Oryctolagus cuniculus: one gene and its partners. The main gene of each other region encodes a partner of the protein of the gene in region 2 in a complex. Links are inferred from orthologs where the notes say so. Each region holds a gene or a part of one and is shown on either strand. Other genes may lie near its edges.

Region 1 (8,313 bases), on a different chromosome or scaffold from region 2:
CTGGGCCAGAGCCAGGAGCTTCATCCAGGTCTCCCATGTGGGTGCAGGGGCCCAAGTACTTGGGCCATCTCCCACTGCTTTTCCAGACACATCAGCTGGGAACTGGATAGGAAGGGAGTGGAGTATCAAACCAGTGCCCATACAGGATGCTGCACGGCAGGAGGCAAGTTAACAGGCTACACCACAATGCCAGCGGTAGCAATCTATTTTTAAAGGGCACTTAGAGGACTGGGAGACACTTGAAGGAAGTTTTCTAGAAGGTTTCACCCTTTGAAAATAAAGCAATGGGCCAGCGCTATGGCACAGCAGGTAAAGCGGCTGCCTGCAGTGCCAGCATCTCATATGGGTGCTGGTTCAAGCCCTGGCTGCTCCACTTCTGATCCAGCTCTCTGCTATGGCCTGGGAAAGCAATAGAAGACGGCCCAAGTCCTTGGGCCCCTGCACCCATGTGGGAGACCCAGAAGACGCTCCCAGCTCCTGGCTTTGGATCAGCACAGCACTGGCTGTTGTGGCCAATTGGGTAGTCAACCAGTGGATGGAAGTGTGCACGCACTCTCTCTGCCTCTCCTCTGTGTAACTCTGATTTTCAAATAAATAAATCTTAAAAAAAAAAAAAGTGATCATTAGAATGCTATCACACTGAAAAAAAAAAAGTAAAAAGGAGAAAACTCTGAACTTCAGTTTCACCGTCTCAAAAAAGACTATCACCATTATGGTCCAAAATTACTCTATTTTGAAGACACACTTCAGTATGGTGACCGGCAAAAAATGGGCATTTAATTTCTTTCTCCATGAGAAACAGGGAGAGAGGGAGAGAGGGAGAGGGGAGAGGGAGGGATGGAGGAAAAGGAAAGAAAGAGAAGAAATAAATCAAGAGTTTAAGAAAGGATTTAGTTGGGTCTAGTGCTGTGGCCCAGTAGGCTAAAGCCTCCACCTGTGGCTCCAGCATCCCACACGGGCACCGGTTTGTTGCTCCTCTTCCGACCCAGCCCTCTGGTATGGCCTGGGAAAGCAACAGCAGGTGGCCCAAGTGCTTCGGCCCTGGCTTCTGTAACTCTACCTTTCAAATAAACAAATTCTTAACCTAAAGAAAAAAATTAGTTTATTTATTTGAAATGCATAGTTGGAGAGAGATGGAGAGATCTTCCAACTGCTGGTTCACTACCCAAATGGCCAGTGGGCCAAGCTGAAGCCAAGAGTCTGAAACTCCAGGCAGGTCTTCTATGTGGCTGGCAGAGGGCCAAGTATTTGAGTCATCTTCCACTGCTTTCCCAGGTGCATTAGCAGGGAGCTGGATAGGAAGTGGAGCAGCAAGGGCTTCAACTGGCACACATATGAGATGCCAGCATTGCAGGCAGCAGCTTAACCTGCAACACAATACTGGCCGCAGAAATGAGTTTCTTTAATAACCCTAAGAGAATTCACAGACTGAGGACAACTACCATGATGTCCTCCTGTCTTAGTTTCTAACCACAGAATCCTTGGTGTGCTCCAATTTTTAGAATTCTGAAAGATAATTAAGTTTTCTAACACTGATTTATATTTTCCTTTTCAAAAGTTTGATGTTGGGTAGTATGAATTAAAATGGAGTTTGGAGGACATCAACTTTTCTTTCTTCCTTAATTTGAGAGACAAAAGCTTCCATCCCCAATGCCCTCAGTGGCCAGGACAGGCTGGAGCTGGGAGCTGGGAACTCAATCCAGGTCTCTCCCACGTAGGCAGCAGGAACCCAACTACCTGAGCCATCCCTGCTGCCTCCAGGGTCTGCAATGACAGGACACTGGATGGAAGTAAGAACCAGGGCTGGGAACAGACCCAGGCACTCTAAGATGCATTGTGGGTGACTCAGTCATTAGGCTAAACACAATCCCCCAAAATAAATTTCTGAAGTTGTAATCTAAGTCAGGGGTAAATACAGGTTTTATTCGCATGCATTTTCACAGGTCAGCTCTCGAAAGAGCTGCAGTTCATTCCATGTATGGGGTATTCAGCTTAGGAAACGAGAGCCTCAGAAAATCTGTAACTGATGCAAAGTCCATCTTTCCTTAAGCACTCATGATATGCCACATAAATTCACAGTCAAAGGCAAAGTAGAACTGGTTCAAAACTCTTGTAAGATTTTATTTTTTTGAGAGGTAGAGTTACAGATAGTGAGAGGGACAGACAGAGAGAAAGGTCTTCCATCTGCTGGTTCACTCCCTAAATGGCCACAACGGCTGGCCAGAGCTGGGCCAATCTGAAGCCAGGAGCTTCTTCCAGGTCTCTCAAGAGGGTGCAGGGGCCCAAGCGCCTGGACCATCCGCCACTGCTCCCCCAGACCATAACAAAGAGCTGGATCGGAAGAGGAGTAGCCTTTATGGGATGCTGGTACTGCAAGCAGAGGATTAACCTACTGCACCACAGCGCCAGTCCTAAAAACTTGCGCCATCTTCCACTGCTTTCCCAGGCTATAAGCAGAGAGCTGAATCTGAAGAGGAGCAGCGGGGACAACTGGAGCCCATTTGGGATGCTGGTGCTGCAGTCAGAGGCTTAACCACGGCTTAGGAGGTTGAAAACAAATTAACATACAACATTCAACTACTCAGAACAGAACTCAGTTCTCAATTTTTACCTTCACATTGCATAAACACACCAAGAAATCTATTAATCCCCAAGGTAATTTTTTACAACCTGACAAGCTCAGTCACCATCTACAGTTGATTCTAGGTTCACAAAAAGATTCTTAGAATAATCTTCCACAGGAAAACTAGAAGTACTAAAACACCATTTTAAAAAAAGATTTGTTCATTTGAAAAGCAGTGTGACATAGAGAAAAAGAGATCTTCCATCCAACGGTTCATGTCTCAGATGGTTGCCAAGGCTGGGGCTGAGCCATGTCAATGCCAGGAGCCAGGAACGCCATTTGGGTCTTCCACAGGGGTGGCAGAGGCCCAAGCACTTGGGCCATCTTCCCCTGCCTTGCCAAGCACATTAGCAAGAAGCTGGATTGGAAGTAGAGTAGTGGAGACTTAGACCAGCAATTGGAAGTGGGATGCCAGCATCACTTAGCCTGCTGTGCCACGTCACCCCATAACATCATCTGGAATCATCAGAGTCCTGAACCTTGAAGGTGAAAAATGAAAGCATATACACACAGACACCACACATACACGTTCACTGTCTATGAGTCACATTTATTCAATAATCACAACTTTTCAAAGTCAAAACTAGTCTCCATTTTCCAAGATGAAAATGTGACTCATTAGGTGATCAGCTCAGCGTAAAACAGCTATTAATGAACTAGAGGTTTGGGTCCTAAATCCAGTGTCTCTCAAAAGTTGGTAACTGGGGCCGGCACTGTGGTGCAGTGGGTTAAAGCGCTGGCCTGAAGCGTTGACAACCCATATGGGCGCTGGTTCTAGTCCCGGCTGCTCTTCTGATCCAGCTCTCTGCTGTGGCCTGAGATGGCAGTGGAGGAAGGCCCAAGTCTTTGGGCCCCTGCACCTGCGTGGGAGACTGGGAGGAAGCTCCTGGCTTCGGATTGGCACAGCTCCGGCCGTTGCAGCCATATGGGGAGTGAAGCAGAGGATGGAAGACCTCTCTGTCTCTACCTCTCTAACACTGTCTTTCAAATAAATAAAAAATAAATAAAATAAATCTTCAACCATGGCTGTTGTGGGCATTTGGAGGAGTGAACCAGAGGACGGAAAAATCTGTTTTTTTTTTTTTTTTTTTTTTAATAAAGCAAAAGAGAAAAAATTCAAAAGCAGCTATATTGGCTATTTTTAAGCAAAGTTTAAGATTGATTTTTGGGGCTGGCGTGGGCACCAGTTCTAGTCCCGGCTGCTCCTCTTCTGATCCAGCTCTCTGCTATGGCCTGGGATAGCACCAGAGGATGGCCCAAGTCCTTGGGTCCCTGCAGCTGCGTGGGAAACCCAGAAGAAGCTCCTGGCTCCTGATCGGTGCAGCTCTGGCCATTGCGGCCATCTGGGGAGTTAACCAGTGGATGGAAGACCTCTCTCTGTAACTCTTTCAAGTAAATAAAATAAATCTTAAAAAAAAAATGATGATGATTGATTTTTAAATTATGTAAAGGTTTCAATTATTCTTGTAGATCATCCCGAGATAACGTTAAAATATCAGAATCAACATCTACTCGATGCCTTTTATCACAGGAGAAGCGGCTTAGGAGGTGCCTAGCACCCTACATTCCAGTAGCACCATGATGCTTTATTAGGCAACTCAGTGCTTCTCTGAAGGCGTGTGCTCTAGAGAAACAAATCACAACTGCATTTAAGACTCCATCACCTGATACCACAGTAACCTTTACACTAGAGTAGAAAGAGTACTGCTTAGAAATTCGAGAACCGCCTATTTCTCACACTTGCATTGGTCTTAAGTGTGATCTTCAGCAAGTTACTTAATTCTGTGCTACCGTTTCCAAATTAGCAAAAGGGGGGTACCAATTTTGCAAGCTTAATGAAGTGCTGTAGAAACAAGGATTTTAAAATATGAACATAAAGGACAACTTTAACATGCATTTCGTAAAAATTAAACTCCACCAACATCTTCCAGGTGAACACTTCTTCATAGCACTGAACACCTTTACAGCCTATTCTATCCAATGGAGTATCCTATTACGGGAATATTGAAAAGTTTGTCCTTAATAAGCTAGTAACTATATCAAATAAAAAATATTTGGAGGTAGAAAAGTGGGAGAAGATTTAACAAGTAAAAACAAGAATGGAACCAAAATAGTTAAGCCACTCTGCTAAAGGATCCATCAACATATAGCTCTGACAAACAAGACACAAACAATGTAGGCACATTGTAAAGACGAAAACTAAGACAGTATTTCCAAGGAGACTCTGTACTACACACACCCACGAGACCCAGCAGCTTTAACAATCGTCGTAAATGCGACCGTTACAACTCCTGGCCTATCAAAGGGCTCCTACCCATCTTCCATATCGTACCTACCAGATAATTTGTGACAAATATGCGAAAACATCTTGAACATGGCTCAGAGCGGAATTGGGAAAACTCGCTGTAATGAAGACCCACGAATCTGGGAAGCTGTGGACACCCCAGCGGTGCCCGGATCCCACTCCCATTGTTACCTCCATCCTGCGGGATCTGGCTCTTTGGACAGTTCACCAGTTCTGCCGCCGGCTTAGCTGTCTGCCCAAGACACCGGAAGCCCTGACAGCACTGCACCCTTATCGCCAGCCGCCTGCGGGGCTGCAATCTCCCTCCAACTTGCCCCATCAGATGCTATGGAATGAATGAAGTTAAAATCCAGCCGTCGCGAGAAGATTTTCCCACACCGTGTAAGCGGAGTTTCATACGTCTACACCACGTTCACCTAGCACCGAAAATTTCACGGCCGAAATTTTCACACAAAAAAACGAACGTAATTGGCGGTGACTTCCGAGGGAACAGAATAGCCACACGAGAAAGGCGACCGGAACGTGCCCACGCGGGATCGCTTTTCCACCGGGAAGGGACCCGTGTTTTTTTATTTTTCCCGTCACAGCCTCGGCGCGCCAGGACTTCCCCCAGTGCCCTGGGGATCCACTTCCTCCCGCAGGAGCCTGGGCCGCGCGCGGGGTCCGCGAGCGGCGTGGAGGACCCCCGGCGACGGGCGCGCGCCCTCGTCCCGACATGGAAGCCCACGGAGCCCGCGCCGCGCACCGGGCCCCGCCGCCGCCGCCTTCTCCCCCGCCGGGCCGGGCCCAGACCAGCAGGGCCGCCCCAGCCGGACCTCCGGGCCCCGCGGGCCGAGGCAACATGGCCTCGGGGCGGCGGAAGAGGAAGCGGGTAACGGGCGGCCGGCGCGGCCCGGGCCCGCGTCGCCCCGCAGCTCCCACAGGGGCCCCGCGGCCGCTCTCCCGCCGCCCGCCCGCACCTACCTCTCCGGGCCGGGGCCGCGCGGCCGCCGCCAGTCGCACAGGCCGAGGCCCCGCCGCCGCGCGCCTCCTCCCGTCACAGCCCCGCGCGCCCCTTTATTTGCGGGTCTCGCTGCCACAAAATGGCGCTGAGGGAGGACGCCAGGCCCCGCCCGCCGCCCGGCCCCGCTCCGCCCCGCCTCCCCGCTCCGCCATGTTCGCGTCGGGCCCGCTCACCGTGGAGGCGCCGCCGGCCGCCCGGCCCCGCCACAGGCGAAGAGGCGAGGAGCGCGCGGCCGCCGGCCTAGCCCGAGCGGGACCTGGCGGCGGAGTCTGCAACCCGGAACCAGCGCCGCCGCCGGGGCTCCGCCAGCTCCGGCCGTGTGTGTGTGTGTGGAGGGGCGACGTCGGGCGAGGGGGCGGGTCGCCGGGGTCGGAGGTCAGCCGCGGGGCATGCCGGGAAGGCGGCCCCGGTGGACGCGCTCGCGTGGGCCGCCTGCGGCGACGGCGCCGCCGGGCGGAGGGATCTGCGCGAGGGCGGCGTGCGATTGGACGCGGTGCTTCCGCGCGCCGGCGGGGCGGGGCCGGCCGCCTCCGTGTGCCGCCTCGCGCGTGACGGGCGGCCTCGTGTCCGCGCGGGTCGTTCTGCCGTGGCGTCTCCGGCGGCGAAAGCGAGCAGCCATTGTTCTCGAGCGGAGGGCGGCCCCGGGGCCAGGGGAGGGCGGGCCGTGGACGATGGGGCGAGCCCGGTGGCGTGAATTCCGTCAGTGGAGTGTACTCGGGTGGGCGAGACTGCCTTGCGGACCGCTGGGAAGACGCGACGCGGGGCCGGGGGCGCCCCGGGGGGACCTGCCTTGGGCCTGCTGGACCCCAGCGTGGCCCCCAGGGCAGCCGGCCCGGGCGAGGCGGTGCGGGGAGCCCGGTAGCTCGCCCTGCAGAATGTCCGGCCTGGCCTCGGAGCGCCGGGGTCGGGGAGGAAAGCCGGGGCCGGGTCTCGGGAGAGGCGGCTCGGCTGCGCTCCCGGTGAGCGCACTCGTGAAGTTAGGATAAACGACCCGAGCGCCGAGTAACCGGTGCATTTCTGCTTCTGCCTGTCCCGAGGCAGCGGGTGCACAAGGGTCCCGCCGTGTCCCGGTGCAGGCTCCGTCAGGGCCGCCGCAGCCCAGGGAGGAGCGAGCTGCGGCTTCGTGCGGAGTCCAGGTCGCAGCAGGTGCATACAGAGGAAGTGGCAGATAGTAGGAGCAGGACTTCTCCGACAGAGCTACAGGATGAATCAAGAAGGGAAGCAAAGCCCCGGGTCGAAAGCGATTTGAAAGAAGTGAACTTTAAATCCAGTCGGCAACGAGGAAGATTTACAGAGGAAAGAATTTCCCTGGGGCTTCGCAAGGCCGTAGTTGGTGACGCCCCTGGAGAGAGCCGGCCTCCGCTCCGCGGAACAGGGCTGCGAAGGACTAGGGTTGATGGCTGGCATTTGAAACTACTGTAGGATAACGCAAATAACTTGATGCTATGATGTATGAAGGTTTTCTGTGTGATGGAAAATGAGAAACAAGATCAGAGAGGGTGGGAAAAATTTTACATTGGAAATACCAGTTTGAACGTGATTTTTTTAAAAAGATGTATTTGAATGGGGGGCTCAGAGAGACAGATCCGTCTTCCGTGCAGTGGTTCACTCCCCTAGTGGCTGCAACAGCTGTGGCTGAGCCAGGCTGGAAACCAGGAGCCAGAAGCTTCTTCCAGGTCTCCCGTGTGGGTGGCAGGGGCCCAAGCACTTGGACCATCTTTTGCTGCTTTTCCGGGTGCGTTACAGGGAGCTGGATTGGAAATGCAGCAGTATGGGATGCTGGCACGGCAGGCAGCAGCTTAACGCACTGTGCCACACACCAGCCCCTGAATGCATGACTTTACAGTAAGATTCCTAGTTCCAGGCTCTGAAAGCACCTAGACCTAGTATGGTGACCAGTTGTCCCTGCTCCCCAGAGACCAAGAGGGCCTCCTGGGATCCCTGACTGTCAGGTTAAACTGGGGCAGTCCCCAGCAAACCAGGAAGGTTGGTCCCAGTGAGCTCGGAATCCCATTGCCCACTGAAAGGCTACAGAGCTCCTTGGAGAACTGGCTGGTTGTAGTTCTGGGAAGTGCAAGATGAGGCAGGTATTTTTAGGGCGAGGTCATGTGACCAAGACACAAACTTCCCGGGAGGTGGCCATCACATCAGTTGACCAGGAGAGGAGGAGCAGGGGCCTCAGCTATAAAAATGAGGGAATCTAGAAGGTGAAGCAAATATTCTATTGTGGTTACCCCTTAATCCGCGTTTATGAAAGTACAGCAAGGGGCCAGCACTGTGGTGCAGTGGGTAAAGCCGCCACCTGTGACACTGGCATCCCTTATGGGCGCCAAGTCCCAGCTGCTCCACCTCCATCCAGCCCCCTGTGAATGCGCCTGGGAA
Region 2 (7,574 bases):
GGATCTTTCTGTTCATATCCTTTCCCCATTTTTCTGTTTGGCTGTTTCTCTTGATTTTTGAGTTCTTTTTAAATTAATGAAATTGACCCTTTTTAATATATTGTGTATATTCCCCATTTGCCTTTTGAATTTTGTCTATAAATTTTTTATTGTAGAGAGGTTAAACATTCTATGCAGTCAGATATCCAGTGTTTGTTGTTATGACTTCCTGGATTTATGACAGTTTTAGAAAGGCCTTCCCCTATTCTGTGCATATAAACTGGTTTTCCTCTCATCTGTCAGTACAAACTATGACCTGTGGGGCAAATCTGGTCCTGTTTTTATAAAGTTTTATTGCAAAACAGCCATGCCCATTCATTTCAGTATTGTCTGTGGCTGCTCTCATACAGTAGTGGTAGAGCTGAGTGTTTGTGGTTATGGACCATGTGGCTCACAGAGCTGAGAGGATTTATTGCCTGGCTTTTTACAGAAGAATTTGCTGACCTCTGCTTTGGATCTTTTAAGAATACGTATGTGGTTATTTAAAAAAGCCAAAAGTGGGATCTGGCTTTCTGTTTTTTCCTCCAAAACAGCTTGTCATTGTCCCAATCATTGAATAATCTTTTCCTTGCTGCATAGAAAACCCACCATTATTGTATATTAAAGTTCTAAAAGTATTAAAGTCTGTTTTCTGGTCTTTCAAAGTATTTTCATGAACTTATAGTGATGTACAAGTACATTCTTGTAATGCAGGAAAAGCTAAAAATTCTCCCTGCTACCTCTTTTCTCTAAGTTGTTTTCCTCCTCTTCTCAGGGTCATGGCTTTTTTTTAGAGGGAACTACTCTTACTCCTTTCTCTCTTAATAGAGCAACTTGAGGCTGAAGACAATCATTGAATACTTTAGACTTAACCTGTTTGGAGTAAAAGAAAATTATTTTTTTCCCTAGGGATTGATCAAAATATGGAGTTTTGGGTGTTAGTACATCTCTATGGATATTTAGTTTAATGAGAAGAATACAGGTTGAACTACTCTGAAAAATTATAATGTGCTCTTCATTTATTTGGCTGTTGATCTCCATAATTTTCTGCATTTGAAGAATTGACAATTTTTCTTACTTTGAATTGTGGATGACACCACCTTTGATAAGGAATGGGCCATATAAGACTGTAGGTACACTCAGGTGTAATTTATAAGATCAACTTTACTTTGAACTGTACATCTATATTGGAAGTAGTTAAATAGCAGTATATTGGAATATCTCTTATCAACTTCAAAAAATTCTTGCATCACTATTGTCTGTGTGTGTGTGTCTATCTACCTGCACAGGTACTGTAAGTTAGCCATGTGGGTAAAGTTGAAGCTGTGTGCTTTGGCTACTCTGTTTACCAGTTCTAGGGCCAAAAGAGTCGTGACAAGCCTGGCACCTTGGAGAGATATATTTGTCTTCTCAGCTTTACTTTAGGTAATTGGATTCTACCTAGAATTCTCATCAGACTGTTCACCGGTTTTCTGTTCTTTTGTGTAAAATGAGAAAATTGCCACCAACTTTTTAATGAGACCAGAGAAATTGAGCCAACTTGATCTTCAACTGGTCTTAAGTTTATTAATGTTGATATATGCAGTGTAGGACAGGATACTTGTAAATATCATATGGCTCCTGCTGATTGGGGATTAACCAGGAAGAAGTTTTAAAATGAAAGGGTGAAGAATGAATTTGTTGATGTTCCAAAATCATGCTCAGATTAGAGGTGAAGGGAAAGTATAATTTACTAAGTAATAAGAAAATCCGCAGAATTCTTTGTTTTCATTATTTTTACAATAAAATCAGTCTCTTGCAGCATACCATATTTGTAGATAGATTAGAATAAGTGATGGTCAATGTCATTAAAATTTTGTGCAACAAATGATGATAATGGTAATCTTGAGGTTTTAGACTAAAGATAGTCTGTTGAATTGATAGAAGCACTTGAATAGGTGTCAAGAGATCTGAGATCTGTTCCTGGTCCTGCTGCTGACCTTAATATGTTACATTATTGTGGATCTCCATACTGTAATAGTCTCAATTATGAAGTATTAGAGTTGGTCAGGTAATCACCAGTTTTACTTCTAGTTGATATTTTAAACTAGTCTTCATTATTTTGTTCTTAGAGGAGCTTTGAAAGTCATCAGGTGGGCTTTCCAGTGAATAGGCCTACTTTGTCCTGTGTGTATACTTCTCAAATGAAATTTGAGGTTTGAAGTTAATGAGTAACATTTTGTTTTCTCAGAAGGATTTGATTATAATGAAGAGGAACGGTATGACTGTAAAGGGGGTGAACTGTTTGGAAATCAGCGAAGGTTTCCTGGACACCTTTTTTGGGACTTTCAGGTACGATTAAAAACGAAAACTTTCATTAGACCAATAAAATTGGTATTAAGTACTTAAAATGTGGTATTAGAACAGTGTAGAATATATAAGGGGTATCTTTTACAAGCTTTTGTTAATGTTATGACTTTTAACACAAACATCATTTGTTTATAATGAGTGCCCTACTTTGACTATTCCCAAAAATAATTTGAAATCATTTTCAGTGAGGTCAAATGTGATTGATAACTCTTAACTATTTAAAAATGTAAACTAACGGTGGCACAGCTAATGCTGGTGAATATGTGGGGATTATACCAAGAAACCTTTATTTCTAGTTGTTTTTAACAACTTTTATAAAGTACCAACCATTTACTATTGATAGAGTGTTTAGCATTGTGTTATAGATGCAGTTTTTAGGATTAAGGGAATTTAATTATGTCATTTCAACAGATAAACATCTTAGGTGAAAAGGATGATACACCAGTTCACTTCTGTGACAAGTGTGGATTACCTATTAAAATCTATGGACGAATGGTAAGCATAATTAAATTAAATACTGTTTGTAAATGCGTGCATTTGTGTCCAGGTAGAATTCTGAAATGTATTAAGTAGATACAGTTAATCATTATCTAATGACTGAGTTTGTGACATTTTAATTTAAATAAATATGAACTAGCTAAGAGAAGTACTTGGTATGCGTGACACCAGTTTATATTTATTATACTTTTTTAAGGAAAGATTTTTTTTAAGATTTTATTTATTAATTTGAAAGAGAGGGAGAGACAGAAAAATCCTCATCTGCTGGTTCACTCCCCCAGTGACCAAAACAGCTGGAGCTGGAACAATCTGAAGCCAGGAGCCAGGAGCATCTTCTGGTTCTCCCACGTGGGTGCAGGGGCCCAAGCACTTCGGCCTTCTGCTGCTGCTTTCCCAGGCCATAGCAGAGAGCTGGATTGGAAGAGGAGCAGCCAGGACACAAACTGGTGCCCGTATGGGATGCTGGCACTGCAGGTGGAGGCTTAGCCTGTTGTGTCACAGCTCTGGCCTCCAATTTTTTTTTTTTAATTTTATTTATTTATTTGAGAGGTAGGGTTACAGACAGTGAGAGGGAGACAGAAAGGTCTTCCTTCCGTTGGTTCCCGCAATGGCTGGAGCTGTGCCAATCTGAAGCCAGGAGCCAGGTGCTTCTTCTGGGTTCCCCATGCGGGTGCAGGGGTCCAAGCACTTGGGCCATCCTCCACTGCCTTTCCAGGCCACAGCAGAGAGCTGGACTGGAAGAGGAGCAGCCAGAACTCCAACTGGCGCCCGTGTGGGATGTTGGCGCTGCACGTGGAGGATTAACCTACCGTGCTACGGCACTGGCCCCTGGCCTCTGATTTTTTTTAACAGACTAGAATAACATTAGTTATTCATTTCTGAAGTTCACTATTTTTTATATAAAATACATAAATAATATTTTTAATTTCTAAAAATTGAATTCTGATTATTAAAAAATATTTTTACACCCCTAACTGTAATTTTATAGTAACTTTATCATGTCCTCGCTCTAAAAAGATAGCTTTGCATTTGTGTTTGAAAAAAAGATTGGATTCTGTTGTACTCATATCTGTGATGATAGAGGGCACGGATTATGCACTATTGCTTTGCTCTGTATCATAGCAAAGTAACAATAATGGGCTGTTGGCTTTACAGTGTGGTTCTTGCATCATTTTACTGTGATCTGATTGTTAGATTTTTTTGAGTTCACTAATCTAAGCCAGGAAGAAATGCTAGTTAAATATAGGAGATACTAGTTATTTTTACCTCTTTAGAATAGTTTCAGGAGAAATAGGGTAAGGTTAAACATGATTATAATGTTGTTGTCAGGAGCTTTTAACGTATAGGATAGGGATCAATGGTGAAACTTACAGGGTAAGTTGCTCCCAAAGACAAGTGTACATTGTATTCATTTATTAGGAAGGAGGCCAAAGATTAATTTTTACTTTTGAATAAGTAGCACTTAATAAATGTTCTTTTTAAAAGCTCAGTGCCTTCTAGCTGTAGGTGATTATGCTTATTGATCTTTTGTGTGGAAATAAAATCTAAGTTGTTCTAGTATGCTTAATTATAATGTCTTTGTTTGCAGATTCCATGCAAGCATGTTTTTTGTTATGACTGTGCTATTTTACATGAAAAAAAGGGAGATAAGATGTGTCCAGGGTAAGAAGATAATTTTTATTATTTCTTTATAAAAACGTTTCTTTCTCCTTTCTGTCTTTCTGAGACAGAGCTCCCATCTACTAGTTCCCTTTCAGAATGCCTCCAGTGACTGAGGCTGAGGCCAAAGCTGATAGCTTGGAATTCAGTCCAGGTCTCCTGTGTAGATGACAGGGGCAGCTACTTCACCTGCTGCCTTCCAGGGTGTACACTAGCAGGAAGCTGTATCTGGGGGCAGAGTCAGGACTCAAACCCAGGCACTCCAGTACAGAATGTAGGCATTGCAAGCAGTTGTCTTAACTGGCATCTTACTTGCTAGACCAAACACCTACTCCCATCTTTTTTTTTTTTTTTTTTTAAAGAGAGCTTTTATTTAATAAATATAAATTAAATAGGTATAGATTTTGGAATATAGTGGTTCCTCCCCCTGTAGCTGCCTTCCCACCCCTAAACCGTTCCACCTCCTACTCCCTCTCCCATCCCATTCTTCATTAAGATTTATTTATTTACTTTAAAGATTTTATTTATTCATTTGAGAGGTAGAGTTACAGACAGTGAGAGGGAGAGACAGAGAAAGGTCTTCCTTCCGTTGGTTCACTCCCCAAATGGCCACAACGGCCGGAGCTGTGCCGATCCGAAGCCAGGAGCTTCTTTCGGGTCTCCTACGCGGGTGCAGGGTCCCAAGCATTTGGGTCATCTTCCACTGCTTTCCCAGGCTATAGCAGAGAGCTCGATTGGAAGAGGAGCAGCCAGGACTAGAACTGGTGCCCATAAGGGATGCTGGCGCCGCAGGTGGAGGACTAACGTACTGTGCCACAATGCTGGCCCCCATTAAGATTTATTTTTAATTATCTTTATATCCAGAAGACCAACTCTAAGTAAAAATTTCAACAGTTTGCACCCACACAGACACACAAAAGTATAAAGTACTGTTTGAAGACAAGTTTTACCATTCATTCTCATAGTACAGCTCATTAAGGACAGAGTTCCTACATGGGGAGCAAGTGCACAGTGACTCCTGTTGTTGATTTAACAATTGACACTCTTATTTATGATGTCAGCAATCACCTGAGGCTCTTGTCATGAACTGCCAAGGCTATGGAAGCCTTTTGAGTCCACAAACTCTGTCAGTATTTAGACAGGGCCATAAGCAAAATGGAAGTTCTCTCCTCCTTTCAGAGAAAAGTACTCCTTCTTTGATGGCCCCTTCTTTCCACTGGGATCTCACAGAGATCCTTCGTGTAGATCATTTTTTGCCACGGTGTCTTGGCTTTCTATGCCTGAAATGTTCTCATGGAGCTTTTCAGCCAGATCTGAATGCCTTAAGGGCTGATTCTGAGGAGAGAGTTATTTAGGGCATTTGTCATTCTATGAGTCCACTGTGTGACCTGATTCCAATATTGGATCATTCTCTTCTTTTTAATTCTATCTATTATTATTAGCAGACATTTGGTCTTATTTATGTGACCCCTTTGACAATCCTATCTATATGATTAGTTACAGAATATCATTTTAATATGTAAGATGGCATTAGTACCTGCCAACTTAGTGGCTGCCCCCATCTTTTTAAAAACAGTTTAGTTTGTAATATAATCATTATGAGCTGGGTCGAAAATCAGAGTATGTTTTAAAACAGGCAGGCAATCAAATGTGTAGTCATGGCCAATCTTCCTCTATGAGCCCAGAGTTGTTATTAGCCTCCTTAAGATAGACCTGGGTGTAACTGTTGTCAATTCATATTGGTTAAAATGATGAAGCCTACTTGCCATTGTAGAATTACAAGTAGTATTATAAATCACATGCTGTTATTCTAAATTTTTTTGATGGGACATTAGAGATAGTATGGTATTGATTTATAACAAATACGCTTGGTTTTATAATCTGTCTTCTGCTGTCTATTAGCTATATGACATAGGCTGTTTCTTCTTTGTAAAATAGGGCTGATAATAGTATCTACCCCTCTGGTGTATTTTTAGGAGTATCTATCTAGGCATGTAGTAAGCAAATTTAAGTATAAGCTCTTAGTATATTCAAATCTGATTCTGTCTTGAGTATATGTTACAATACCCTCATGACATAGACTCAAGAAAGTAATGAGTTATAGCTATCTGGGGATGTCTTGAAGGAACCAAAATAAAGTAGGAGTTTTTATTTCAATTTAGAGCTCCCTGTTAATGACTTCAGAAATACAATGAAGCTTGCTTGGAATAGCCATAGTCCTCTTAGATTCCTTATAACCTGTGCTTAAAGTTACCCCAAGATTTGTAGTCTTGGTTGATAACAAAGCTATGAATAGTTGTGAGGGATGATTCCTTTTGTGTGTATGTGTATGTGTGAGAGAGATTTATTGATTTATTTGAAAAATAAAGTTACACAGAGGCAGAGGCAAAGAGAGAGAGAGAGATCTTCCGTTGCTGTTTCATTCCCCAGATGGCCGTATCAGTCAGAGCTGGGCTGATCCAAAGCCAAGAGCCAGGAGCTTTTTCTGGGTCCCCCACGTGGGTGCAGGGGCCCAAAGACTTAGGCCCAAGCACTTGGGCCATCTTCTACTGCTTTCCCAGGCCATAGCAGAGAGCTGGATTTGAAATGGACCAGCTGGGACTTGAAATGGTGCCCATATGGGATGCTGGCCCCGCAGGCTGTGGCTTTACTTGCTACTCCATGGAGCTGGCTCCAGATGATTCCCTTTTGTGTGTAGGAAATTAGCATCATTAGGAGAGAAAGGGATGAATCATTGACCCACTCAGTGACAACTAATTCTCTTTGGCTTATTCTTCCCAGCTTTTTTTTTTTTTTTTTTTTTTTTTTAATATTTATTTATTTATTTGAAAGGCAAAGTTACAAAGAGACAGAGAGAGAAAGAGAGAGGTCTTTCATCTGCTGGCTCACTCCAGATGGCCGCTACTGCCAGAGCTGGGCCAATCCAAAGCTAGGAGCCAGGAGCTTCTTCCAGGTTTCCCTTGGTGGGTGCAGGGCCCTAAGGACTTGAGCCGTCTTCTACTGCTTTCCCAGGCCATAGCAGAGAGCTGGATCAGAAGAGAAGCAGTTGG
Region 3 (8,369 bases), on a different chromosome or scaffold from region 2:
ACCATAGCAGAGATTGTGGAGGTCATTCTCATAAAATGCAGTTGGACATATACGTTCAGAGGAGTCATTGTCAAGGAGCTAGGGAGAAATGTATCCATTGTAATGTGGATCTCTTTTTACCTTTCTAATATAAGTGCATGTAAGTTAAACTGCTTCTTCAAAGAAGAATCATGTGGGAACTTCCTCAATTTATTCTCTTTCCTCCTACTATGACACAGACTCTCTGGTGGCTCTGATGTTGCCATGATGAAAATATATTAGTGGTAGGCACATATACTACTCTACTGTGCTCTGGTGTTTTAAAATCTCACTGGTGGAGAGATAGGTTTTAGAATTATATTCCCATTTTTGTAAAAACTGCAAAAACTTTCTGAAGGATTCCAGTGGCTTTGTAAATACTGTAAGGTAGTACACATCTGCATCTTTAATCAGTCAGATTCCCATGTGGGAAAACAGAAATCATTCAAAGTATTTTAACCAGACACCAGTTACTACAGAGAAATGGTTACACAGATAATGGGGGTAGAAGAGCAAAAGGGGAAAGTGAAATTAAAATAGAAACTCCTAACTGCAAGTGGCTACCAGTCTTAAAGCTGGTATACATAAGAGAGAAGGTTGTATTGTCAGCTCAAAAGCAAGGCCACTACTACGATGCCACATTGGGGGTTTGAGGAAAGGAGCAACAGCTTTAACTGACTGTGGGCTTTGTACAGGACATAGCCATTCCCTTGGATGCCAGAGCAAAGTAAAAGTAAAGAAAAACAATACTTTCCATTGTTCCACCTTCTGATTTCCTCCCTGTTCCTCCTGTAGGCACAATCTTACTGGAAGTCATCTGTCAGGGAAAGGTGTGAAATGTATGTAGCTTGCAGACACCCAGCCCAACCATCATCTTGCAGCAGCTGTAGGTGAAGTACTGGAATGAAAGACCACAGTCAATTAACTGAAATAGTACCTTTCCAGGAAAAAAAAAATTTCCTTACACAATATACCTCCATAAAGAAAAGCTGAATTATTTAATCTTTGATTTCTGCTAGGATCTAAGCTCTAACATAGTGCTTGTCATATAAAATGTTCAATAGCAGTAAAGATTTGTGTAAACAAATGTCCATTACCATCATTGCTGAATAGTTTAAACCAGTTTACTACTCAAATAATTAGCAGGTAAGACGTCCAACTGATTTTTGGGTATTTATTTTTCTTTGAAACACAGATACACAGATGCCCACAAATTTCCAGATGTCCACAACAGACAGGGCTGGGTCGGGCTGAAGTCAGCTTCTCAGAACTCCATCCAGATCCCCTACCTGGCTGACAGGGACTCCACTACTTGAGTCATCATAGCTGCCTGCCAGGGTGCACATTAGGAGAAAGCTGAAATCAGAAGGGAAGCTGGGATTCCAAATCAAGCACACTGATGTATGATGCAGATGTCCCAGGTAGAGTCTTAACTGCTATGCCAGAGGCCAAAGTGCCACCAATCTGTAAAGAAACATACATTAACTCATATTTTCAAAAATGTGTTATGGCATATGCTCCCTGGAAATTAATTTTTTAAAAATATTGCTACCATTACTCAAGAAATTTTTTAGAACACCTCTTTTAAAATTTTCTTTCAAAACCAGATCAGGGGGCCAGTGCTACAGCACAGTAGGCTAATCCTCCACCTGCAGCACTGGCATCCCATATGGGTGCTGGTTCTAGTCCTGGCTACTTCTCTTCCAAGCCAGCTCCCTGTTACGACGTGGGAAAGCAGTAGAAGATGGCCTAAGTGTTTGGGCCCCTGCACCCGTGTGGGAGACCAGGAAGAAGCTCCTGGCTCCTGGTTTCAGATCGACCCTGCTCCAGCCATTGCAGTCGTTTGGGGAGTGAACCAGTGGATGGAAGACCTTTCTCTTTCTCTTTCCCTCAAACTGTAACTCTATCTCTCAAATAAACAAATAAAATCTTAAAAAAAAATGAGATCATGAGGTATATATAACACACATCATGCCAGATGCCATTTATTCTTTCAATTTTCACAACTCTGTGAGTAGGTACTCTTATTACTCCTATTTTACCAAAAACCAACCAACCAACAAACAAAAAACCCTATGGCTCAGGAGGTAGTTGACTAGCCAAGGTCACTCAGGTAGTGAGAGGCCAGGCTTCAATTCTGGGCAAGCTGAGTTTGTGCTTGCAGTTAAAAATGAGTCCTGGGGGGCAGGCATTGTGGTCCAGCAAGTTAAGGCATCGCTTCTGAAGCCAGCATCCCGAATGAGCACTAGCATGCCAGCTACTCCACTTCTGATTCAGCTCCCTGCTAACAGGCTTGGGAAAGCAGTGGAAGATGGATGAAGTGCTTGACGCCCTGTCACCCACGTGAGAGACCCTAATGGAGTTCCGGGCTCCTGCTTTGCAGCCATTTGGGAGTGAGCAGATGGGTGGAAAATATTTGTTTCTATAATTCTGCCTTTTAAACGATTAAATACATCTTAAGGAGAAAAAGGGTGGGGGGACATCTGTCAAGCTTTAAAACATCACGGGTGTCAACTAGGGAATTAATGGAAAAGCCAATCAATATTTCAGAACAGTATTTTAAACCATACTGATGACCTACCAAAGAGAGAGAAGTGAAAAACGATTGTCGATGGTCCCATGGCGGACCACCAAAGAGCATTTCTGGGCGGCGCTCAGAGGCCAAAAGGCTTGAGACCCCTCTAGCGCAGCAACGCCTCTCATTGGGTCCTTTCCAGGTGGCGTCAAGTTGCAGGCGTCCGATAGGAGGCGGGACTTCCGGATCTGGGCGCGCCAATTCCGGTCGCGCCGGAAATCCAAGCAGAGGAAAGCCTTGCTGGTGTGCAGTCGCAGGAGGTACTTCCTTGTAAAGTTTGCTCCAGTGATTCGCGAGATTGGACAGGGGTTCATTCAAGAGTGGCGAGTATTCGGGTGGTGAAAGACGGAACATGGATAGCCGCTTGCAGGAGATCCGAGAGCGGCAGAAGTTACGGCGACGGCTCCTTGCACAACAGGTCAGCAGCCAGGGGTGGCCCAGGTGGGGAGGGATCTCAAATGCGCCTGCGCGACCGCACTGTCGTTCTCCTGCCTTTCTCTGTCCTTGCTTCCTAATTCTGTCAGCGCCTTCCTGATCCCGCGACCCTGAGCCCTGGGCCTCTGGTCTTGTTCTCATTTCCCGTCGTGACCTGAACTTTCTTCCAGTTCCTGCCGCGGTCGTTGTGGTGCCACATTGAATGCTATGAGTAGGCCGGCGACGCGGCTCACTAGGCTAATCCTCCGCCTGCGGCGCCGGCACACCGGGTTCTAGTCCCGGTCGGGGCGCCGGATTCTGTCCCGGTCGCCCCTCTTCCAGGCCAGCTCTCTGCCACAGCCTCCGCGGGGAAGCAAGCCGGACAACAGAGCCGGCGGAATCGGGGGCGTCCTCGGACGCGAGTGGGTCAAGCCCCGGCGGCTCACCCGCACACACCCCCAGGGACGGGACGGGGCGCGGCAGAGGCGGCGGAGGAGGGGCCCGGAGGCTCCCGCCCCACAGACACACACCCCCAGCAGACGGAGCGGACCCCAAACGACGGCGGGCACGCGAGGGCGAGCCCGAGCCAGCGGGGGAAGGGACGGGCACCAGCGGGTCGTTCACGTCGTGACCGCACCTCGTCCAAGCGCGCCCCGACGGGGCAAGGCTCGAGGATGGCCCAAATGCTTGGGCCCTGCACCCGCGTGGGAGACCAGGAGGAAGCACCTGGCTCCTGGCTTTGGATCAGCGCGGTGAGCCGGTCGCGGCGGCCATTGGAGGGTGAACCAACGGCAAAGGAAGACCTTTCTCTCTCTCTCTCTCTCCCTGTCCACTCTGCCTGACAAGAAAAAGAAAAAAAGAAGAATGCTGTGATTACTCTTCAGCAGCCTCTAAGGAACGCATGCCAAGTGTCTGGCTAGGGCCTCCACGAGGAGGATACAAAGCTTTGGTATATAAGTAAATTACTGCAGTTCGTGGAAGGAGAAGCGACGTGTCCCCTAGATTTCCTTTCAGTATTCAGATGGTGTTCTGTGTCTTGTTATTTCTCGTAGTCAGCATCAATTCTTGAAATGTGGCTTCGTTGTTAACAGTGCTTTCTTTGGGATCAATCAATTTTAGAGCCTGCATCTTATCTTATGTATACACAATGTTCTGATCATTCACAGCGACCCCTTGAAATGAATGTTATTATTTATTTCTTCAAGAGTGAAATAGGGTTTAGAGGTTAAGTACTTTTAGCCCTGGTCACTCACGTCTCCACCAGGATACTGAACCTATGTTCCTCTCAGCAAAGCTTGTCTTGAGTATGAGTTAATTAACGTTTGCTGATTAGAGTACACATGTATAAAATACAGATTGCCCCCCATCTGCTTAAAGTCAGGGCTTTGTTTTCCATTCTTCCATTCAGATCAGTACATGTGATGAGGGAAATGATCATAGGCTTTAATGAGGCATCTTTGCCGTTAGTTTTCATAAATAATTTAGTACTAGTAAATGCATACCTGAAACCTGTCCTCTTTCATGATCTGATGAACAGATTTGTGGTATACTGTTGAAGTTGTGGGAATTCGGAATCAGATCTGTCCTTTGTCTCTCAGGCATTTCACTATTGGACAATCCAGGTATCCTTTTGAAGTCTTTTTACCAACTTCTTTTATCATGTTATTTTAAAAAACATTTGTTGCCACCGCATAAGGTGCTTCACTCACACATTCTAAACTTTAATCTTTGACTTAAAACACATTCATGTAATGATTTTTTAGCTTTACACTAAAAAAAAAATCAGAGACTCTAGTAGGTATTGACAAATGAATTATGAGTGAGTACACATAAACCTTAACAAGACTACAAGTATATTCCAGAAGGAAATCATTTAGTTACGAAGTAAATAACGAAAATCAGAACTTCAAATGTTATGGTCTTAAATATTAGACCAGATTTAGTAGCTCCACATCTAAGGTTTTTTCTACCTGCCCCTCTTCAGTGCAGGGATGGTTGGCTGCTCAACACACTCCTCCTCCCCCTTTTCCTTTCTTTAAACTGTGTACAGTGAAAATTGTCTTTACTGTATTTTTGTTCTCTGGTAATGTAATAAGCATGATGGTGCCTTCTATTAATACATCATTCCAGTCTGGCTGGTAGTTTTGTACAGTATAGTGTATGAATTGCTGTGCTGCAAAGCCAAACAGCTGCGAAATGTTGAAAAATCATTGAAGTATATAAAAATTGCAGTATCTTTAAAATCAGTAAAATGGACTAGCATATTATTTATCTTGTTTTTCAGTTAACAACTTTGCTCTCTGTGGGAGGGAGTCTTGTGTGTTTGGGAGGGAGGGAGGAGGAAGTCAATTATTTGAGTAAGTCTATAGTTGACGTTTCTCTTAGCTTCAATGTGACCGTTGAAATCACTTGAATGCTTAGAAAAGTCTGTCAGTTTGATGTACTTTTAGTGGCATTTTAAAAGTGGTTAGATTCCATAAATGGCAAGTACACCTGAAGTGAGGATACTGCAATTTTCGGGGGGAAAGAACAGCAGCTCTTAAGTGTTTGCATTTTCTATTTTGGGGGCAGGGAACTGTCATTCATTTTGCACAATTTCTTGAACTGATGTCAGCACCCGAATGGCTCCTGAATTTAAGTCTGGGATGACATCTTTTATTTTTACATGAATCTCTAAACAATTCTGTGAGCAAAGTTTGTAGCTGCTGGAGTATTGTCTGTCTGTATGGGAAGTTCCAGTAAACCACAGCTATGGCAAAGGTTATCCAATGTTATGCTTGGAGCAATCAGTACATATCATTTTCTGATGTTTCAGGCAAGAAGTGGGGTAAATAATTGTGACCACTTAAAGCTGCTTGTTAGCATGGAAGACTTCTCCATTCTATCTTAGTAAAAAAACAAACAGAAAAATGCACTTGACATAGTAACAAATTGCTTCTGAATTATGCAACTGCTTGCTATTTAGTAAACTAGCAAATGATGAACAGGTTTTGTTTTACATATACTGGGCAATATGAGTAAAATTCTGTCCTTTTTTTTCCCCTTTGAATGAGGTCGTCCATGTTGGAGGAAAAGACTTGCACTATTGCATTTATTTTAGGGACACAGATTTTCATAGTTTCCATTTTGGGGGAGCTTAAGATTTTTTTATTTGTTGATTTAACAGTTTTACATTTTCTGGTGTATAGTACTTGAAGTTCTTAACCAGAAAATTACGTTGAAGTTTTGACGCCTTTATTCAAACTTCTTTTAAATAAGTGGCCATTTTTTGTCAGTGTTGGGTCTCTCTCCCCCAACCATCCCTTCCTCCACCAACCATATTTTTCCTCTACTATTTTTTCCTCCTCATTTTACATATATGTATATATACATGCACACAGATGTGGGTGTATATATATGTATAGTGTGTGTGAGTGTGTGTATGTGTGTGTGTGTGTAATTTCCAGTCCAAAATATTGCCCTGTCCCCCGTGAAAACTGTTTTGGCACCAAAAGTGATGACCCTCAATGAGCTTACTAAGTGCATAAAATTTAATAATGACTGTCATTTATTAAATCCTTTCTTCAAACCTACAAATTAGATTATGGAAGCTTAGAGATGAGCAAGGTCACAGAGCTGGTAGTTTGCAAATTACAATTGTAATTTAGGCCTTTCCATGCTCGTTCTGGTATACTAGCTATCTCCCGGTCTTCCAGTTGGATGCAAACCAAGAAGAATGCCCCGTGAAACGGTAGTTTGAGTGATTCACTTGCCTTTCTCTGTGTGAACATGACAGACTTGTTTATTACTCTCTGGGATAGGATTTATGTAGTATACACCTTATGGTTTTTCAAAGTTGCCTTCCTTTCTGAATTTCATCTATCTTCATGGTGCAACCCAGAACTTAGTGATGAAATTTATCTTAATCTCTTAGGCTTATGTACTTCCTATAAGCTTAATTTTCCTTACCATTGATCCTTCCACTACTTTTATATAACTGTCATATATCATATAACGAGTTTGAGTGCAAAGTCTTTGCATTTGATTCCTGTTGGATTAATCTACCTTAGCATTGCTTCTTGCACAAAGTAGACTTTTAATAAACATTTGTTAATTGACAAGATACCAGAGTAGAGCACAACTCAAAGTGTGTGATTTGCCTAGTTTGCTTTTGTCTTTTGGGTGAGAAAGTTGGGTGCAGTAACTCCCAGACAATGATGTTGGCAGTTGAACTACTGCTTGACTAGCAATTTTTACCTCCATTTAAAAAAAAAAAGAAAAAGAAAAAGAAGAGGAAGAAATTTATCTGTCTATTAGAAAGGCAAAATAACAGAGAAAGGGAGACAGACGTCTTTTATCTCCCATAACAGTCAGGGCTGAGGCTTGTAGGCAGCCTTTGGACAAATCAAGGCCAGTCTTGGCTTGTGGAGTTCTTGGGATAAGAAAAAATGCAACACATGTTCATTACCAACCCCCTATCATTTGGAGGGTTCCAATGGATTCATTGGTTATTAAGTTGGCTGGACCACTATTGCTTTTCCTCCTTTGTATGGGATGTTTTCCGTGTGTTTTACAACTTATGTTAACTTTGCTACAGTCTATATGGACTGAGATCCATCATTTAAAACTTCATACTAAACTTCCTTTGTAATCAAAGTAAGTGATATTTGGCCTAATCTTATCCATTTTTAACTCTCTCCCAATGCCTAGCTGGAATGGTCCTCAAAGACGGGTAAGACACTCAGCATCCTCTACCAACCTAAGACAAGGCTCTAGGCCAAGCTGCCAGAGTTACCAATGACGGGTAAGGGCAGAAGTAACTGAAGGCAACCTAAGACAGAGGTGATTCTCAACAAAATAAAAAAGGGGGAGGTGTAGGCAGCCTTTGGACAAATCAAGGCCAGTCTTGGCTTGTGGAGTTCTTGGGATAAGAAAGTCACATACTCCCATCCTGAAGGAGGGTGTTAATCAAGAACACTCTGTTAAAATTACCTGTGCTACTGGAGGCCCCAATAAGTTGCATGCATATGTTGTTATCTTTTGTACTTCTTTGTGCTTCTTTGATCTACAGCTGGTTATGTATAAATACCACCGAGACATTAGAATAAACGAGCATTGATCAGCCTTGTTGTCTTGGCTCCAATTCTCTGTGCTCTTGTCCCTCTTTTCATTCCCACTCCCTCCTTCAGGTTCCATTCGACTGGTGTGGCTGGCCTGCACAGAGGCTGAGGCCAGGAGCCTGGAACTCCATCCAGGTCTGCCTCATGGACTGGAGCCGCCATCCACGGCCTTCCAAGAAAAAAGCTAGATTGTAAGCCGAGCAGATGGGAATTGAACTAGCACACCAATATAGGTTGATGGCATTACAAACAGTAGCTTAACC
Region 4 (7,574 bases), on a different chromosome or scaffold from region 2:
AAAACAAGGAGCTTATTTAGTTTACATGTGTGCACAAATGCACATAACACACACAAAAATAAATTTTTAAAAACAACTAATTCATTATAAAATTCCTTTAAGAGGGATCGCCGCTTTAGTGGAGTGAGCTAAGCTGATGCCTGAACTGCCAGCATCCCACGTGGGCACCAGTTCAAGTCTTGGCTGCTCTACTCTGATCCAGCTCTCTGTTAATGTGCCTGGGAAAGCAGCAGAAGATGGCCCAAGTGCTTGGGCCCTTACACCCACATGGGAGACCTGGAAGAAGCTCCTGGCTCTTGGCTTCTGACTGGCCCAGCTCCAAGCATCACGGCCATTTGGGAAGTGAACCTGCGAATGGGAGATCTCTCTCTCTGCCACCCTGTAACTCCACGTAGCAAGTAAAATAAATAAATCTTTTTTAAAAAAACTCCTTTAAGAATTAGTTACTAAGGGTCTGGCACTGTGGTGTAGCAGGTTAAACAGCCACCTGCAGCACCAGTTCGAGTCCCAGCTACTCCACTTCCGATCCAGCTTCCTACAATGGCCTGGGAAAGCAGCAGAAGTTAGCCTAAGTACTTGAGTCTCTGTTCACATGTGGGAGACTTGGATGAAGCTCTTAGCTCCTGGCTTAGACCTGGCCCAGCCCCGGTCATTGCAGCCACTTGGTGAGTTAACCAGTAGATGGAGCATTTCCTTCTCTTTCAAATAAATAAATATTTTTTTAAAAAATGCACAGGTATATAATTTTCATTTTCCTGACCTTTCAACCTTAACTAAAATAAAAAACAGAAAATGTTAAGTGTGTTAAATAGATTTTTACAGCATGACAGGGAAGAAAGAATACTTTAACACCAGAAGTCACGTAATTTTTACGTCTAACCACATCTGCAAACGCTTACCTGGCATCTTCTCCTCATCTTGTTGATCTTCCCTCTTTTCTGCATCCCCTGCCAGAATTTCATCCAGTTCATCATCACTGATTGGCTCGTATCCTTCTCCAGCACCAGAACCTAAGGAATGTGCATCGTCTAACTTGGACTCATCTTCTCCAGCTGAAAAGACAAATTAATTTCACGTCAAAGAGAACATTAAAAAGAAAGGATGCCTAGGTCAATAAGTAAAAGCTGTACACACTAAAACAATGTGAAAGGTATTTTTTCATCAGAAAACTATTATTTCTTAATTGTTCAAACAGATGATAATTTCAAAAGAAAGCTGAAAAATAGAAATTTAATAATTTGGCCGGTGCCGCGGCTCCCTTGGCTAATCCTCTGCCTGTAGTGCTGGCACCCTGGGTTCTAGTCCCAGTTGGAGCGCCGGATTCTGTCCTGGTTGCTCCTATTCCAGTCCAGCTCTCTGCTGTGGCCCGGGAAGGCAGTGGAGGATGGCCCAAGTGCTTGGGCCCTGTACCCGCTTGGGAGACCAGGAGGAAGCACCTGGCTCTTGGCTTTGGATCGGCGATTTGGGGGGTGAACCAATGGAAGGAAGACCTTTCTCTCTGTCTCTCTCTCTCTCACTGTCTAACTCTGCCTGTCAAAAAAAAAATTAATAATTTAATTTTAATAGCAAAAATATGTTAACAGTAATATCAGAACAGATCTTAAGATTATAATTAAAATAGAAAAAATAAAATCTACTATTAACATGAGTGCTAACTAGCTGACTATGTATATTATGTTCAGTTTGGATAATAAAACTTTTAAGTCAGATAAACCCAACTTCAAAAGGTTATAATAAGTTTTATACCTAACATAAGAGTAACTTTTTTAAAGTCTACAAAGTTATTCTAAAATTTTGAAAGTTAAATCTCAGTTCATATGATTTAGCTTGTCATATGAAGAATTTTATTGGAGCAAGGTAAAAACACAAATGTGCCATTAATTCTCTCTACCTCCTGAATTTCTCTGCTTTTTCCCAATGTTTTCCTTTAGTGTATGAATACAACTTCCAGAACAATGATTTATTATATTTCAAAAATATTCCTGATACCACCCCTTGGCATAATTCTAATTATTTGATTAGTTTTTCTCGTCTCCTGAGATGAGTTTGTCATGAACTTAATCATAAAACCAGATAAATTTAGTATTTCTAATCACTAGTTTTTCATATACCTTACCAAGTCTACAACACTAGTTTTCAAGTTGCAACAGATGCTTTATCAACAGGAATTTGGGGCAAATAAAATATATGAAACAATGACATAATTCTAATCATTCTAATACTCTTCTGTTCTACTAAATTCTACATTAACTTCCCTATATTCCCACCATTTCACCTCTAAGATGATCAATTTTAATAACACTGCCATATAAGGATACATTTAAATATGAATGCACAATATGGGAATTTTAAATTTTCAACTATATCCACTCATTTTCCTACTTCAAGTAAATAAAGATCTTCACATTACACAGCAGATGATTCAACTATAAATTTCTATGGTATATTATCTGTAATAACAACTAGCAAATGATATATGTTAGGGCCAAAGGACATTGCCTCCAATCACAAAAGAACTACTACAATGACTGGTTCAATTGTACTCAATTATAGCCCAAGGTTGTACTTCCATCAGAACCAGGGCTCAAGATCTGATGCTATTTTTCCTCAAAATTGAGATGAAATTATAAAGTGAAGAAAGTCAAAGTACAATAATTTTTGTCAAGTCAAATAGAAAAAGTATGTAACAAGATGGCATATGGAGATATGTAATCCCATAACCAAAACATGTTAGGATCTGTGTATAAAAACCATTGGATTTTTATCAATGGGCCCACTGCAAATAAAAATAATAATCATGTCAGACACTTATTGTAGATAACTAGGTCAGGAAAACAGTGTCAGTACTAGACACCAGACTAGACAGTCCCAAAGAAGCAAAATTTCCAGGAGAATTCTCAGGGAAGCTATTGTTTTTGTTAATTTAGGCCATAATTTACAAAGGAGTTAAGATGTGAGGGGCATCATGTATAAACAGAATATATCTTCACTCAAAAGCCATTTTTTGTGTCCTTATGATGTAGTCATGAAAATAAATGATGAAAAAGGCAACAGTCATAACAAAGGCACATAGTATGGGGGAGAAAAACTCACAGGAAAATAATACAATGTGGGGATATGATAAGATATACAAACACGGTTCTATGAGAATTTGAAAGCAAGTGCCTTTAGCAGAAAAGTCTTTAAAGAGAAAATAATGCATAAGCTGGGACTCAGAAGTTTAAGTAAAAAAGAAAAAACAAAAAAGAAAAGATCTTGCAAGCAATGAAGAGCAGGTACAAAGAAGAGCTAGAGAATAAAAAGGTGTAAATCATTGTGTTTAATGGATTGGGGATGAAATATGGGATACTTAGGATATAAGCAGTAATATTGTATCATTTTTTAATTTGCCATATTGATAGCACTAGAGCCAAAAGTAAAATCCTTTTTCTAAAAGATTTATTTTATTGGGACAAGCATCATGACATAGTGGGTTAAGCTGCCACTCATGGCATTGGCATCCTAGTTCAAGTCCCCACTGCTCCACTTCTGATTCGGCTTCCTGCTAATGTGCATGAGGACACAGCATAGGATGGCTCAAGTGCTTGGAGCCCTGGACCCACGTGGGAGACCTTGGAAGAAGCTCCTGTCTCTCTGTAACACTGCCTATCAAATAAATATGCCATCTTGTTACTTGTACCTCAACTAACTTTATATTACATTTTCATCTCTATTTTGAGTATAAATAGAATCAAATCAAGAGCCCTAGTTCTAGCAGAAGTACAATCCTGGGGTATACCCGAATATAACTGAACTAGTCATTGTAAAATAGCACTTTCTTAATTGGAGTCAGTGTCCCTTAGCTATTACAGGTACCAGTTTGTCTACCAGATTGGAGTTGAAGGGTGGAGAGCAGAGGCAAGAGAGCTTCCACAAGCAAGGCTGGCTCTGAGTGGGTCAAAGCGTTGTTGGGAAGTCTCAGTGTTCTGACTCTAGGAGTAGGGAGAACCTGTACAGGTCTAGAATTAACTGATATTAAATACAGTTTCAGATAGTATTATTTTTCAGATATTTTTCTTCAACTAGCTTGAACAGGTGTCATTAATAATAAGTGAGTTCAATTTTTGTAAGTGATGCTTATTCTTTCACAGCTATAGATACTGCATCTAAACAATCTATTTAGGCTATTTGAAGCAAATCTGCTGTGATAGTATTATTCAAGGAAGCACTTTTTTTTTAAATATGTTTACAGGCCTTTTTCTCATGAAATTTACTTCCCCTATAAAAGAATGGAGTCAATGTATCTACTAGTGATGACCTAGCAAAAGAAAATACTTGTTTCACATGAAATTTGAAAAGGAATGGAACAGCATAACACACAAAAAGGTGTGGCACTCACCTTCGACAGTCTCAGTTCTCTCAGCTTTACTGGTATCTTCGAACCCCTGCACAGATCCCAGGTCTTTATCCATTCTTTCTTTATCCAAAGCTACAGGGTCCCGTGAACTACCGTCTGGATCTCTTTCATGTTCATTGTCCAGTTTTGCTTCACTGCGTTTTACAGATTCTATTTGAGAAGAACTCTCAAAAGTTCTGTCTCTGTCCCTATCCCTTTCAATGGAATCAGGAACTAGTCTCTCTCTTTCCCTGTCCAAGTCTCTCCTTTTGTCTCTTTCTCGTTCTCGTTCCCGCAATCTATCTCTTTCCCTGTTCCGTGGCCAATCTTTCTCGGCATCCCGGTCCCATTCTCTCTGCCTTGTGTCCCTCCTCTCTCTCTCTCGCTCTCTATCATGCTCATATCGATCTCGATCTTGAAGCCTATCTCTGCTGTCAAATGACCCGGACCTTGAGTGGACCTGTCGATCTGACTCAGGAGAACTCCTTCTTGAGCTATGGCTTCTTGAATCTTGGCGATCTAAAAATAAACATACCATATACAAAGAGTTAACACATGATAAAACAGGAACAAAACACTTAATTTGGGGTTCTTTAAAACTTATAATTGATTTTCTTGTCTATTCTATGCATTTTTCTATATTCTTTATTCTTTCTATATATTCTATGTACTTCTCTATTTTACATATTATTTATATATATATGGAAGTCAAATTTTAAGGAAAAAAAACTTTCTCAAATAAAGCACTAAGTAATATGTTAAAAAATATCATGTTTCCTTGTCTATTTCCATTACAGTTACAAGCTATATTCAAAGAAATGAGTACATTAAATGGTAAGGCAGTAACAGAACTGATAATTTTCATTACTTGATTTCTCTAATCTCTTATTTTATTTTCTATGGTCAAAAGAGGTAGCATTAGCTAAAGGAGGCATAGCAGGAAGGATAAAATTGTGGGCAGTGATTAGGGAATTGAATATATAAGCTCTAACATATACTACTACACATATACTAACATATACTACTAAAATCTTGATATTAAAATGATTAATAGCATTGAATATACTTCTATTTTAATATAGGAATTAAAGTGGTACCAACTAACATTTTAATGGACAGCTAAATCTTTTAATTCTGTAAAATTCAAGGCAGCAAATAAAATAATCAATTTATCATTACCTTGAAATTATAACTTGTATAAAACATGACTATCATAGGAAATACTGACTAGATCATAATTCAGTTTTCTTACCTGAAGAAGTACTTCGACTGGGCTCTCCACGCTTTAACTGATCAATCCTCGATTTTCTCTCTCCTGTGATTTCCAGGCTTTTTGTTTTTTCTCTGTCCCTTGAGCCACTATGCAGTACTCTCTTTCGACCACTTTGGTCATCCCCACTTCGATGGGCAGAGTCATTGGATGGTGAGCGCAGACGACCAGATGTATGACTGCGATTACTTCGATTGCTCCCAAGGCTGCTACTCCTCTTCTGATCCACTGGCTTGCGATGTGGGGTGTCCTCTATAGTAACATGACACACCTCAACTTTTTCCACTCGTGTTCTGTGGCATTTTCTATGTGAATCCTCATTGGCAAAAGTACTGGTGGTATTGGCAGAGGTGGAAATCGTGGTGGAGGAGTTGGCAGTAGCAGTGGGGGCAAGAGCAGGAGTAGCCATCGCAGCGGCAGTAGCCATAGGAGGTGGAGGAGGAAGAAGAGAGGACAGAGGAGAGGGGGTACCACCAGGAGTGACAGTGGTAGCCGTGTGCTCTGTTTCTGTCACCTCGGTACGATCAGGCACATCCTCATCAGACCAATCACTGAAAGCTGTATCTTCTTTTTTCTGAAGATCCTCTAGAATGCCATCCTTATCAGTGGAAAGTTCAACCAACTCCTCTTTAACTGTTATGGGGGGAGTCCGTGGGCCTCTTTTCTTCTTACTTTGCTGGGCGGCTTCTTCATCAGAAATATCAGAATCACCTTTGGATCTTTTACGCTTCTTTTCAATACTTTTCTTCTTCTGTCCTTTTTTTGGTGAAAATACTTGACCATCTTCAGATGCTGTCTCTAGGTTACCTCTCTCTATTCCAACATCATCGTCTTTCTTTTTCTTAATAGGTTTCTTCTGAATTTTTGCTTTTTTCTTATTTTCATCATGAACTCGATCAGATATATCTCGATCTTCAGACTGGTGATGTCCTATAATGTCCTGTGAACGTGTTCTTGAGCTTTCTAGGACTTCTATCTGTTCTCTCTGTTTATCTACAGAAGAAATTTTCTCTTTGAGTTCTTGCTCTTCATAGCGCCTTGAACTCTCTTTTCTCTCTGGCTTGCGATCCTCTTCTTTCCATCTACCCTGCCTGTCTTCTGTGAGGTGTGATGGACTGAGAGAACGCGATTCTTGTGGTCGTACAACCTGACTCAAGAGTCTATGTTTTTCATCTGGACAGAAAGACAAAAGTAATCACATGTTCACCAGGTTAACAAACACTGCATGTTATGTACACATCATAACAAGCCAATCTCTCACTTCGTTTTAAGGTTTTTAAGTGGCAACGATTTCAATTGAAAACAATATAGCTTTAGCATTAATAGCAGGAAACAACACTGACACTGAGATAAAATGTGTATTTTTTAGTCACATGAGATATTTAGAAGCAACAGAGCAAGAAAACCTTTGAAAATCTTAACTCTTGAGTTACAACTAATGGCGAAGTATGGTTTCATGGTTACAAACAAATATATGAATATAGAGAAATGGAAAAGAAACTCTGCCTACTTTTATCATCACCACTGTTGTAGGTGTCACTATCGGGAGAATGTTCACGCCGGCGCTTAGGTGACTGCCGTGGGCTAGGGCTTCCTTCATTTCGATAGCGTTTCCTAAATTGGGCAAGCAAACGCGATTATAAAACTCCAAGGAGTAAAGGAGAGATTTCTTCACTATGTTTTTTACTAGCACTTTTTAATTACAATTAGAACATGTAATGGCAGGAAAATGACACTGTCAAACAAAAGGTTTTCAGCATCTTTAATAAAAATTCTACACTTCATTTGCTAAGACTTACAGTTGTGGACTTAACATGGCCACCTTTCTTTCTTCCATATACATGTAGAATCACTCAACTGAAAACTTCCAGATTCAAATACTGCATGCAGCTGAGAAATCAATATATTAAAGTACCTCTAATACAAACA

The links.
Region 1: CBLL1 (region 2) and WTAP share a complex: the UniProt entries of both Homo sapiens proteins name them as parts of the WMM complex. The link is inferred for Oryctolagus cuniculus from reciprocal best matches to the Homo sapiens genes CBLL1 and WTAP.
Region 3: CBLL1 (region 2) and METTL14 share a complex: the UniProt entries of both Homo sapiens proteins name them as parts of the WMM complex. The link is inferred for Oryctolagus cuniculus from reciprocal best matches to the Homo sapiens genes CBLL1 and METTL14.
Region 4: CBLL1 (region 2) and ZC3H13 share a complex: the UniProt entries of both Homo sapiens proteins name them as parts of the WMM complex. The link is inferred for Oryctolagus cuniculus from reciprocal best matches to the Homo sapiens genes CBLL1 and ZC3H13.

The regions. Positions count from the first base shown.
Region 1 is NC_091436.1:8,319,113-8,327,425, forward strand, and holds the start of WTAP (pre-mRNA-splicing regulator WTAP), read right to left. Parts: upstream 5,509-8,313; 5' UTR 5,248-5,508; coding exon 5,100-5,247; intron 1-5,099. UniProt on the Homo sapiens protein: Associated component of the WMM complex, a complex that mediates N6-methyladenosine (m6A) methylation of RNAs, a modification that plays a role in the efficiency of mRNA splicing and RNA processing.
Region 2 is NC_091434.1:136,455,811-136,463,384, reverse strand, and holds part of CBLL1 (E3 ubiquitin-protein ligase Hakai), read left to right. Parts: intron 1-2,248; coding exon 2,249-2,349; intron 2,350-2,778; coding exon 2,779-2,862; intron 2,863-4,453; coding exon 4,454-4,527; intron 4,528-7,574. UniProt on the Homo sapiens protein: E3 ubiquitin-protein ligase that mediates ubiquitination of several tyrosine-phosphorylated Src substrates, including CDH1, CTTN and DOK1. Targets CDH1 for endocytosis and degradation.
Region 3 is NC_091439.1:46,511,013-46,519,381, reverse strand, and holds the start of METTL14 (N6-adenosine-methyltransferase non-catalytic subunit), read left to right. Parts: upstream 1-2,786; 5' UTR 2,787-2,945; coding exon 2,946-3,011; intron 3,012-8,369. UniProt on the Homo sapiens protein: The METTL3-METTL14 heterodimer forms a N6-methyltransferase complex that methylates adenosine residues at the N(6) position of some mRNAs and regulates the circadian clock, differentiation of embryonic stem cells and cortical neurogenesis.
Region 4 is NC_091440.1:65,037,062-65,044,635, forward strand, and holds part of ZC3H13 (zinc finger CCCH domain-containing protein 13), read right to left. Parts: intron 7,260-7,574; coding exon 7,156-7,259; intron 6,819-7,155; coding exon 5,628-6,818; intron 4,895-5,627; coding exon 4,379-4,894; intron 1,053-4,378; coding exon 900-1,052; intron 1-899. UniProt on the Homo sapiens protein: Associated component of the WMM complex, a complex that mediates N6-methyladenosine (m6A) methylation of RNAs, a modification that plays a role in the efficiency of mRNA splicing and RNA processing.